Linked DNA regions of Callithrix jacchus. The main gene of each other region encodes a partner of the protein of the gene in region 2 in a complex. Links are inferred from orthologs where the notes say so. Each region holds a gene or a part of one and is shown on either strand. Other genes may lie near its edges.

Region 1 (2,756 bases), on a different chromosome or scaffold from region 2:
CTCACTGACCATTAGGGTAGCAGGGGAGGGAGGACTCAAGGACCACTGACAGGGCTTGAGCAACTGGGCATCTGGCTGGGTCATTACTCAGACAGGACAGCTGTAGACAGGCCCAATGAGCAGTTGGATGTCTACATCTGAAGCCCACGGGGTGTAGTGGAGCTGCTGTAGCCCAAAGCAAGTGTGATTAGGAGAGAAAAGGGCTGGAGGTGGGACACTCAAGAGCCAAGCAGAAGTACTGAAGAATGGGAGCCCGCTGTTGAGCTTTGAGCCTGAGCGGCCGAGGCTTGCACAAAACACATTCGGCGTGGCCGAGCAGGCCTCTGAGGCAGGGTCTCTCCCGGAAGTCTAGGGCCTCCTTCCCTGGGGCCACAGCTGCTGAAGGTTATGAGACTGGGGAGTCCCACCCCCAAGGCTCTCACAAAGCTCCTCCCTTCTACTCGGGCCTGGCAGGATGCCCTGGCTTAAAAGGCTGTGAGGTTCACATCCCCACCAGACAGAGGAGCTGGAGAAACACACCTTCTAAATGTGCAAGCGCACGTGCGCATACACACACACACACACACACACACACACACACACACACACAAAGTTCCCCAGTGCCATAGAGCGAATTTATTGTGAAAGCTCGTGGGGTGAGGAAGGGCCGGGGCAGGCTCTAGGAGGCCGAGTCGGAGGCCTCTGAGCTGTCTTTGACATCTGTGCTCTCTGTGGTCTCGCTGACCTCGCTGAGGTCCTTGCTGTCCCCTCCACTATCCTCAGCAGCCAGGCCCTTCTCCTCACGACAGGCCTCTCCTGAGTTCGGAGGTGAGCTGCCTTTGCTCTCCACCTTGTTCTCCATGGCGCCCAGCACCATGTGCCTGCCCTTCTCCTTCAGCTCCAGGTGCCGCCTCAGCTGCCGCCAGGAGCCCAGGGAGAAGCGGGAGCAAAGATACAGGGCCTAAGTTTCCAGACAAGGGGAGCCTGGACTTGTCGCTGGCTGAGGGGACGGGCATAATGAGAAGCAGCAGGGCTAGGAAAGACACACGGGACTGAGTGGGGACACCTGGCTGGAGCCTTGCCCACTGCTCCCTGGGTTCACTGACTACCATGGAGGCCCCCACGACCGAGTGCTGCCCCTTCAACAGCCCTGCCACCTTGGGCAGAACCCTGACTCAGAACTACCTCTGAGCAGGCAGGCCACCCACTGGTCCCAGGCTGTCCCACTTCCCTTCTAAAAGCCTCCTCCGTCTGCCTCTCCCACCACCCTCCAGGCTGCTGCTAGGCAGACAGCCTCCTCTAAAGCCCAGCCTAGGAAACTGAGGCCGTGAGTCCTGGCAATGTGGCCACAAGGGCTGGCGCCCAAAGTTGGTCTTGCTTCCAGCCACTGTCCCAGGGCTCTCAAGTGCCGCCACCTCCCCCCCGCCCACAGGGCCGACCCCACTGGCCTCGCTTGGCTAAACTGCAGCGCTCTCACCTCGTCCGCCATCTGGGTGAGATCCCGCTTCATGGCGTAGGCATCCTCCCCATCTGCATAGTATTTGGGCTCCACTTCACTGATCCTGGGGGCAGAGGGCAGAGAGCAAGGAGGAAGACCCATACCCAGGACACATCCTCCTCTGCTCCTGGCATCATGGCTACTGAAGCAAGGTGACATGTTTTCTCCCTGAAGGCTCCATCCTGAGACAGCAAGTCCAGCCTGAAAGAATCCTCCAGTGGCCCCACTTCCAGTAAAGGCTCCAGGTAACAGTGGCCCGCCCCACCCCTGTCCTGTTCCTGTTCTGTGTCCTTAGCCTGGCTACTAAGGATTCCCCTTCTGTGGTTTCTTGTGAGCTGAAGCCCTGAATTCAGCCTTCCCCTTCCCTTTCTGCCCTGCTTCCTATCCCTTACTGAGCTGCCTCACCACAGTGATGAAAATACAGGAACGTGGGTGAGCCCGTTTGAGGGCTGCATCCCTATGCAGCACAGCCCAGCCCGCACTGGGGAGGCACGCGTGCAGGCTCGGGTGGCCATGTCCTGGAAGGCTGGCCCTGTCAGACCTCAGACATGAGGACTGTTGACTTCACTATAAAGCAGTTTCCACCAGACATCCTCATCTGGGTCACAGATCCTTCCTGCCAGCACCCAGCCGAGGCCACCGCCCTTCCCAACAGTCAAACTGGTGCTGAGTGCAGTTAGCATCCCTCCACGGGCACACGGGTAGCCCACCCCAGCTTCACTTGCAAGCACTTTTTTCCACTGTCTACTGGGCACACTGACTGCCAGGTTCTCTCTCCTGGGCCAGGCAAACGGGGCCTCCGGGTCCTCGGCAGACCTGCCCCATCCACTAGGCTGCCTGGCCGCCGGCCCTTTCTTCCTGAACATGCATTCTCCTTGCTTCTGCTCTCTCTTAGATGCTTCCAGGCGCTTGGTCACACAGAGTCCTGCTCCTTAGCATCTGCTCATGCCAGAGACCCACACATCTCTATTCCCAAACATGACTAAACAACCCTGTGCCCTTCACCAGCCTCAGCCAGCATGGGCCAGAGCTCCTCCATCACAACACACATGGAGCACATTTCAGCCATCAGCCACCAAGTGAGTGGGGAGGCATCTTGGCAGCGCTGGGATCCACAGCCTCCTCCCCGTAGCTAGCCCACCCCCTGCCTGGAAAGCAGCTCAGCTGGTCTCAGCGGCCCTGACAGCCAGACCTGGGACCAGCCCCAACCCATTACAGACACCAAGATCTACTTACTGAAAGTTGAGGGTGTTGGAATAGAGGTGCAGGGCGGCCCGGT
Region 2 (3,163 bases):
CATTGTGTTGTCCAGGCTGGTCTCAAACTGTGGGGCTCTCACATTATCCTCTTGCCTCAGCCTCCCAAAGTGTTGGGATTACAGGCAGGAACAACCATGCCTGGCCCCTAAGCTGTTTCTTTTCTTTTCTTTTTTTTTTTTTGATCACTCCAAATCAAGCATGTTGTAGGTACCAAAATTCTAACTCAAGGTGGCCTATGAACTGAGTTCATAACTTATATCTACCTATATATGGTGGTTCCTAGGCAGGGAGCTGGCCTTTTAGATATTCATAAGCTACCTTGGAGACACATACCATTGAGTACAGTAACTCTGCTGAGACTCCATATGTACCTTGAATACTATTGAGAGCTAGTCAGATGAATGAGACTGGGCTGCCACCTGGCATCTACACATAAGGTATTCTTCACTGATTTTTTACATAGGTGTGCCAAGGTGTTAATGAGTCACTTAAAGTCAATTATTCCCCAACATATAAATTCCCCACACAAAAATATAGTATATATTGCACTGGACCCAAGATGATGAAACTGCAAAAAGACAAAAAAAAATTTATTGCCATAAATTAATCCAGTAGGTACATCTAAGAAAGCACACATCAGTTGGTTAGGGCAATAAGCGCCTCTACCACATTGCCCATGTGTTCCCGCAAGCTGCGTTCTGCTGCTGCTCGAGATATCTCCATCTCGGTCATCTGCAGAAAAAAATCATGTTAGATAAGTTCCCAGGCACTAATGTGCCACCGAATATACTGACTCCACTTGTTTCAGGAAACAACCCAAGTAGAACAACCTCCCCTGCTCATACGCTAGAGTCAGGCACTACTACTCACTATCAGTTCCAGATCTTCCTTCTTGATAGTGACTTTTGCCAGTTCTTTCTCCCTGCAAATATTTAAATAGATTAGTCCTCATTCTCAACAAACACCATAAACTCCCAGGAAGGGTCATTCCCAAATGTGCTCTGTAAATAAGTCTTGGTAAATACTTGATTGAAAACTCCCACTAATACTCCTTTCCCCTGAAGTCTGGGGGGCAGGTGTTGCCAGAAGGCCTTCTGCTAACTAGAATAGTAAAGTTATGGCGCCTAGATCTACAGGAATTGGTGATAAAGTTGAAGAACGGTATAAAGTCTTAATAATGCTTTTTATTTTTGTCTGGGAAGTGGGGAGGGAAGAACTGTTAAAGGTGGCTACCACTGAAGACTCACCGCTCCTGTTTGGCTTTCTGCTCCCGGGACCTTCTGTCTCCAATCACAGACATGGCCTATGGGAAAGGCAGGTCTAGTTACTGCTCTGCTACCCACAATTCCCAATAATCTAAAAAGCCAATAAAACAAGCGGCTCATGTATGAATTCAAGATAAGTGTTACCATGTAGCAAGGACTATGTTTAGTTCCATTCTATGCATCTGAGGTCCCCTTAAGCCCACTATCAAGCTTCTTTAGGCAAGGGCGGGCTCTGATGACCGCTGTTTCCCTCGGTTCTATCCTATTGCCGCCTCCTGCCATGGGGAACAGAATCCCGTCTTAGGGCGCCGGCTTCCAGCTACAGCCTCAGAGCCTCCCTCTGCTCTCAGCCCGCCCCGAGACGTTCTTGGCCAACCTTACCGTCTCCAGATTGGAACTCTGGATCTCCTTCTCCTCTGCATAGTCGGTGACCCGCTCCAAGTCCGCCGCGCCGCTGTCATGTTTCCGTGGCTTCTCGGGAGGTCGCTCTGGGCCACTGGTCTCGGTCTCTAACTCTAGCTCCACATCCCCCTCGGTCGCCATATCTATTTCACCACGCCGCTGCATAAGCCCCACCCCACGGCGACTTCCGCAACTGACAACTTCCGCCCGGGGAGGAGGCGGGGCTGGCCCTGGGCCACACCTTCTTTCTGCTCCAATTCTAGAAGCTTCAGCGAGGGAGGCGGTTGTCTTAGACTTCCTTTAGGGCTTTTACAGTGTTGTCTTCTGCAAGGTCTTCTGTCATACCTAACCCGTCACCATTCCGGCCCGCCCCACCGACACCTTCCCCCGTCTTAACCTAGAACAGTCACCTCACTACATACACACGCACCTACCTCAGGGAACTCCGTTCAACCTGAATGGGTGACGTCTAATCCTAAACCAATTAAGAATGCTAATCCACAAGAGACCAGATAGACAAACAGCCCCTAATCTGGAGAGAAGAGCCTCAGTGGTCCCAGTGATGAGGCCCTGAGGAGAAAACTCCTTCACAGGGCATTTGCATTTACCGCATCCTGGAGGTCAGCATTGTCTTCCGGATGTCCCCATTCTGCCTGCGACCCGGTGCTCAGCCCCAGCACAGTGGAAGTCCAATGGGCTGAGGAAAGAAGCAGCTACTGCTCTCATCTGCCTTCCATCTGGTGGACCTAAGCCTAATCCCTGGGACAAGGATGGTGGGTGCCAAGGCCGGCCCTGGCCCCAGCACCTCCCTGGGTCTGGCACAGCAGCACAGCGGAAGCAGCAGTGTCCTAGTGAAAAACCCCTTCTGTCAGGTGAGAGGGTACAAAGGGGAGAGTGGCTGAAGCTGGGGAGGAAAACTTGCAGAAGCCAATAAAAACGACAGGCCTCTTTTCTAATGTCGTTCTGGTTCTTTGCCCCTGGTCATCTGTAACTCTATCCAGCTATGTTCCCAGCCCCAGGTGTTTAGGTCTAGAGAAAGGTCAGATATCTGAAGCCTGCTTGTAATGAAACCCCTAGTAAGTTGTCAGTGGAAGGCAATCCCAAATGGCTGCAACCAACTTGAAACAGAACCTGAGTCAAAGGAAGAAAGGGGACAGGGAAATTTTGGAATTCAACCTCCTGGGTTAACCTCACACATACATTAACATATGGTTTTCCTCAGCAAGTCCACCTCGCCGCCTTGCATCTGCTCTACCCCCAGGTGTGCTGCTGTGGGCCTGCTCCTTGTGCCAGCTGCTGCCACTCTAGGTGGCCCTTTCTCACCGCATCCACCTGCAGCCGCTTGTTCTACATCTTCCTCCATGTGGGGGCCTCAGCAATCTGCTGCCTCCTGCTGTCAAGGACAGTAGTGGAAAGGGTGTGGGGCAAGACACACAGGGTAAGTGAGAGGGGGTCAGGTTGTCAGGTGGGAAGAGATAAAAGGAAAAACCCTGACAAAGAAAAGAGATTTGGGTTGGGGACAGGAAACAAATGA
Region 3 (4,349 bases), on a different chromosome or scaffold from region 2:
GTAGAAGCCCTTCTTTCACCCTTCCAGTCCCATCTGAAGCACGTGAACATCTGCGGAACCTTCCCTGCAGGGATGTCAGATAAAACCCTTAGAATGACTGAGGAAGCACATTCGGAGGGAAGCTTCACAGCGACTCCGCAGTCAGGGCCGTATCTGACAGTCCCTCCCAAGCCCGTCTCACCGGAGACGCCTCTGCCTGCAGGGTTTTTGCCTCCTCCCCGCTCCTCAGCCCTGAGCTGAGGGTAAGGACGCTGAGGATCTCTGCCAAAGAATGGGCGTTAAGGAACAGGACCTAGTGTCTACTGCAGACCCTGTGGAACGGCTGAAATAATCTGCTACCCGAAGCCCCAAAGGCTCTGACTACAGAATCATCATGGCCGCACTCACTCCCAACCCTGGGAAAGGTGGACATCTCAATCCCCAAGTAGCGGGGCCGACCACACTTGGGGAAGGGGGAGTCAGGGGAAATGAGCTCCTTGCCCCTGCAGGGTGACAGCGGGGAAGAAGCCTCAGGCAGGGAGGTCGCCGTTCACACTCTCCCTCCTCTCTGCTCTGCCTTCTTCTACCCCTTTTACCTGTTCTGCCCCCACCACTCGCCAGTCACCGGCCGCCGCTCACCTGCTGGGGCGCGAGGTGCAGAGACGGTACCGAGCGAGGACCCAGAGGCTCTGTCACCACGGGCGGGGAAGTCCTCAGCTGCAGAGGAGGGGGGCGGGTCCAACAGTCATGTGACGTCCAGCTCCGCCCTGACTTCCCTCATCCCATCTCGCTACAACTTGGGGGCCCGTATTTTCACAGATTCCTTGAATATTAATCTCCTTAGATTAAAGAAATAAAGATGAATTTTCACAAGGACCGTGTTGTAAAGTACAACGTGGAAGACGCGGACAGCAAGGGCTAAAGCGCACTGCTAAGGAAGTGACGTTCACGCCGCTATCGAGGGACAGGAAATGGCGGCGGGGTTCCTTCCCTCCGGAAGCCGCCTGTAAAATTCCAGGCTCTGAGGTTGGGGTCCATCACGTGAGCTCAAAACTGGAAGCGTGCTGGAGAGTAACCGAGCGATCGGGCCCATCGCTAACTACGTCTAATTGTTTTAAGACACCTAACTTACCTGAGCTTTCCGCAGATTTATTTACATTTATTAGAACCAGCCTTACAAAACCCTAGTGGAAGGCAAGAGCGTTTGAAGGTCACTCTGGAGACCACACACCGGGAAGAAGGGGTCCGAGAAAGACCGATCGTGCGGATACGAGGCAGGAGAGGAAGGGGTGGAAAAATCTGGGTTTTACCGCCAGGGCCTACCGAGCCAGCCACACAAGTAGTGTAATAGGTGGGAGGGAGGAGAAGGACGCCGGAAGCTACAGTCCGGGAGAAAGATGGAGGCTCCGGGGTGGAGGGGGCAGGGTGCGCGGGGGCGAGCAGTGCGGCTGCGCGTGAGGCGGCGGACGCGCCGGCGCGCAGAGGGGCGGGGTGAAAGGTCACCGCGCGGCGGCTGGTCTGGCTGGCGGTAGCGGCGGGAGGGAGCTGAGACCCGAGCGCACGTGTGGGGAAGCGGCGGGACCTGCGCGGCGGAGGGAGACAGCCCCGCCCCCACCGGAGATTTAGGCCCTCGCTCGACTCTCGCGGCCTTCGGCGCTAGCTCAGCTCCTTGCCCCGGCCAGGAGGCCGGCTTGCGGGGTGGAGTGGTCCGAGCTGAGGGCGCGGAGACCGGAGGGCGGCGACGACGGCGGCGTTGATATCGGTGGTAACGACGGCCTCAGCAGGCGGGGAAGATGAAAGGGTGAGAAGGGCAGTTGGGCAGGGCTCGGCCGGCGGGGTAGAGGGGCCCGGGCGGGTGTCGCGGGGGAGAGCCGCGGAGGAGCGGAGTCTCGGGGCGAAGACCGGCGGAGGGAGATTTCTGGGCTTCTCAGTGCGGCCGCTCCCGGAGGGGGCGGAGGCGGGGCGCGGGCTGTTGGCGGGCTGAAGGGCCAGCGGAGCCCGGACCCCAGGGTCCCGGGGTTTCGGTCCGGAGATGAGTGCGGGCTGAGTGAGTGGGGCAACAGGGAAAGGCTACGGTGCGGCGCCTGCGGCCCCCTCCCGGGGTTGGACCACCGAGCCGCCCGGGCCGCCGCTCCAGGTGGAGTCGTTCGGTTGGTTTCCGTCTCCAGCCTCAACTCTGCAGCGGCGGTGTTTGGTTCACGCTCGGGAGCGGAGCCGAACCTTGCGGAGGAAGAGGAGGTTGGAATAGAGCGCAGAGCGCGGGGACGAGTATTAACAGCTAGTGACTCAACTAGATTTGGGTTGGGTCACAGCGGGGGGGGGCACGATCACGGTGGACTTGGGGAGCCAATATCTTCCAGGAAGTACCGCGTGGATCGGTAGGTGGCGCTATTGCTTTAGCAGCTCACCGTTGCCCCGAGTGCCGAGGGCTTCCTGGGTACTTTACCACGCTGCTCCCTTCAGGTGATCGGCAGACTAAATGTTCGCTCTTTCACCGTTTGCCTCTTGGATAAAATCAGGAATTATTTTCTATCGACTGCTTAAATTTTATTTTATTTTTTTCTTGAGATAGAGTCTCTGTCGCCAGGCGCCAGGCTGGAGTGCAGTGGCACAGTCTCGGCTCACCGCAACCTCCGCCTCCTGGGTTCAGGCAATTCTCCTGCCTCAGCCTCCTGAGTAGCTGGGATTACAGGCATGCGCCACCGTGCCCAGCTAATTTTTGTATTTTTAGTAGAGACGGGGTTTCACCATGTTGACCAGGATGGTCTCGATCTCTTGACCTCGTGATCCGCCCGCCTCGGCCTCCCAAAGTGCTGGGATTACAGGCTGGAGCCACCGCACCCGGCCTCGACTGTTTAAATTTTTACGAAATGTCTCTTTAGCATTAAGTTATATAGTTCTAATATATTAATTACATATATATTAATTACATAACGTTGTTCCAAAGCATTGCCTAAATAAGCCGTTTTGGAGCTTGTCTTTACCCTCAAAGAAAGGAAGCTCATAATCGTTAGCAAGTTCTCTGCAATGCCTTAGTTTGTTCTTGTTGTAAATCGATTAGGAAATCGTAACTATGTTTTAAGTTAGCGAAGCCGGTCCAACTATTCAGCAGCCCTTTTGAGGATGAAGTAAAAGTCATTTTCAACGTAATCTCATACTGCCCCAAATAAGGACCTACATATTATCTCTGTGTATCAGTGTTCGAGATTATTGGAGAAATTCCAAGAAAATTTAATTTGGTCTTAGGTCTGTAACATGTTTCCTTACTCTAATTTTCCTTTAAATACTGGATATTCTAATGTTGAATAGTATGTTTTGTATTAAGAATCTTTGAAGTTTAAGAACCATGAACTGTTCACCATACCTGCATTGTTTCACTTCAAGTTCTAGAGAGTTCCAGTTAGGGAAATTAATTGATGAGTATAGGAAGTATTTGCTCCACTTGAGTCATAATCTGGGAAGCTTGGCTGTATTAGATACAATCCAACATATTTGGGGAATGTTGTTTTTCTGCTATGCTGCACTTCTTTTTTTTCTTCTTCCTTTTTTTTTCCCCCCTTCGATACAGGGTCTCACCCTGTCACCCAGGCCAGAGTGGAGTGGCTCGGTCTCGGCCCACTGCAACCTCTGCCTTCCTCGCTCAAGCAGTCCTCCCACCTCAGCCTCCCGAGTCGTTGGGACTACAGGCGCGCACCAACTCTCCTGGATAATTTTTGTATATTTTGTAGAGACGGAGGTCTCACTATGTTGGCCAGGCTGATGATCTCAAACTCCTGGGCTCAAGCAGTCCACCAGCCTCTGCCTCCCAAAGTGCTAGGATTACAGGCATGAGCCACCACGTACAGCATATACTGCACTTCTGGAGCTGGTTGCTGTCTCTTACTCATTTTTGTTCTCATTGTCAGGCCCTTAGTACTTATTACCACGTTCTGTTCAGTAAGAAAAATGAGACCGAGGAGTTCCCAATATTGAAACTGCCATGGATTTACAAAGGGGGACTGCAGGAAATTATTCTGTATGTTTAGATCCAAAATCTTCAATCTAGTTCAGTCTCCATCGGGTGTAATGTTCTTTCTGATCGCTAACTTGGCAATAGAAATGAGCCAACCAGTCATATTATTCAGTCTGCCTTTAAGATATTCATGGAGCAATTTATCTCTGTTTAAATGGATATTTACATGTAACCTGATGGAGACAGAGCCCTAGAAATGAGTAACTGGCTGAATTTAGAGGAAACTTAAAATTATTGCATCTGTATCTTTATGCCAGTAACTATGCCTGTAAAGTTTCTATTACTTCTTGTGACTGGGAGCTTAGAATTGTGTTCTTTACAGTAAACCTTCAAGATGATTTCACAGGAGTAATCCCTT

The links.
Region 1: the proteins of HYPK (region 2) and NAA10 are in contact, whole or in part, in a crystal structure (PDB 6C95), measured with the Homo sapiens proteins. The link is inferred for Callithrix jacchus from reciprocal best matches to the Homo sapiens genes HYPK and NAA10. Residues at the interface, in NP_057484.4 of Homo sapiens: Lys27, His28, Ser30, Gly31, Asp34, Leu35, Arg37, Val38; in NP_003482.1 of Homo sapiens: Glu24, Tyr26, Lys29, Tyr30, Tyr33, Lys59, Glu134, Lys136, Tyr137.
Region 3: HYPK (region 2) and NAA50 share a complex: the UniProt entries of both Homo sapiens proteins name them as parts of the N-terminal acetyltransferase E (NatE)/HYPK complex. The link is inferred for Callithrix jacchus from reciprocal best matches to the Homo sapiens genes HYPK and NAA50.

Annotation. Positions count from the first base shown.
Region 1 is NC_133524.1:149,842,075-149,844,830, forward strand, and holds the end of NAA10 (N-alpha-acetyltransferase 10), read right to left. Parts: coding exon 2,714-2,756; intron 1,679-2,713; coding exon of another isoform or gene 1,542-1,678; coding exon 1,457-1,541; intron 941-1,456; coding exon 659-940; 3' UTR 593-658; downstream 1-592. UniProt on the Homo sapiens protein: Catalytic subunit of N-terminal acetyltransferase complexes which display alpha (N-terminal) acetyltransferase activity. Acetylates amino termini that are devoid of initiator methionine.
Region 2 is NC_133509.1:31,465,077-31,468,239, reverse strand, and holds HYPK (huntingtin-interacting protein K), read right to left. Parts: upstream 1,771-3,163; coding exon 1,609-1,770; intron 1,266-1,608; coding exon 1,210-1,265; intron 885-1,209; coding exon 833-884; coding exon of another isoform or gene 825-832; intron 695-824; coding exon 599-694; 3' UTR 526-598; downstream 1-525. Other genes in the region: SERINC4 (serine incorporator 4), read left to right, coding at 2,400-2,501, 2,891-3,067. UniProt on the Homo sapiens protein: Component of several N-terminal acetyltransferase complexes. Inhibits the N-terminal acetylation activity of the N-terminal acetyltransferase NAA10-NAA15 complex (also called the NatA complex).
Region 3 is NC_133516.1:103,481,888-103,486,236, forward strand, and holds the start of NAA50 (N-alpha-acetyltransferase 50), read left to right. Parts: upstream 1-1,526; 5' UTR 1,527-1,772; coding exon 1,773-1,780; intron 1,781-1,932; exon of another isoform or gene 1,933-2,357; intron 2,358-4,349. UniProt on the Homo sapiens protein: N-alpha-acetyltransferase that acetylates the N-terminus of proteins that retain their initiating methionine. Has a broad substrate specificity: able to acetylate the initiator methionine of most peptides, except for those with a proline in second position.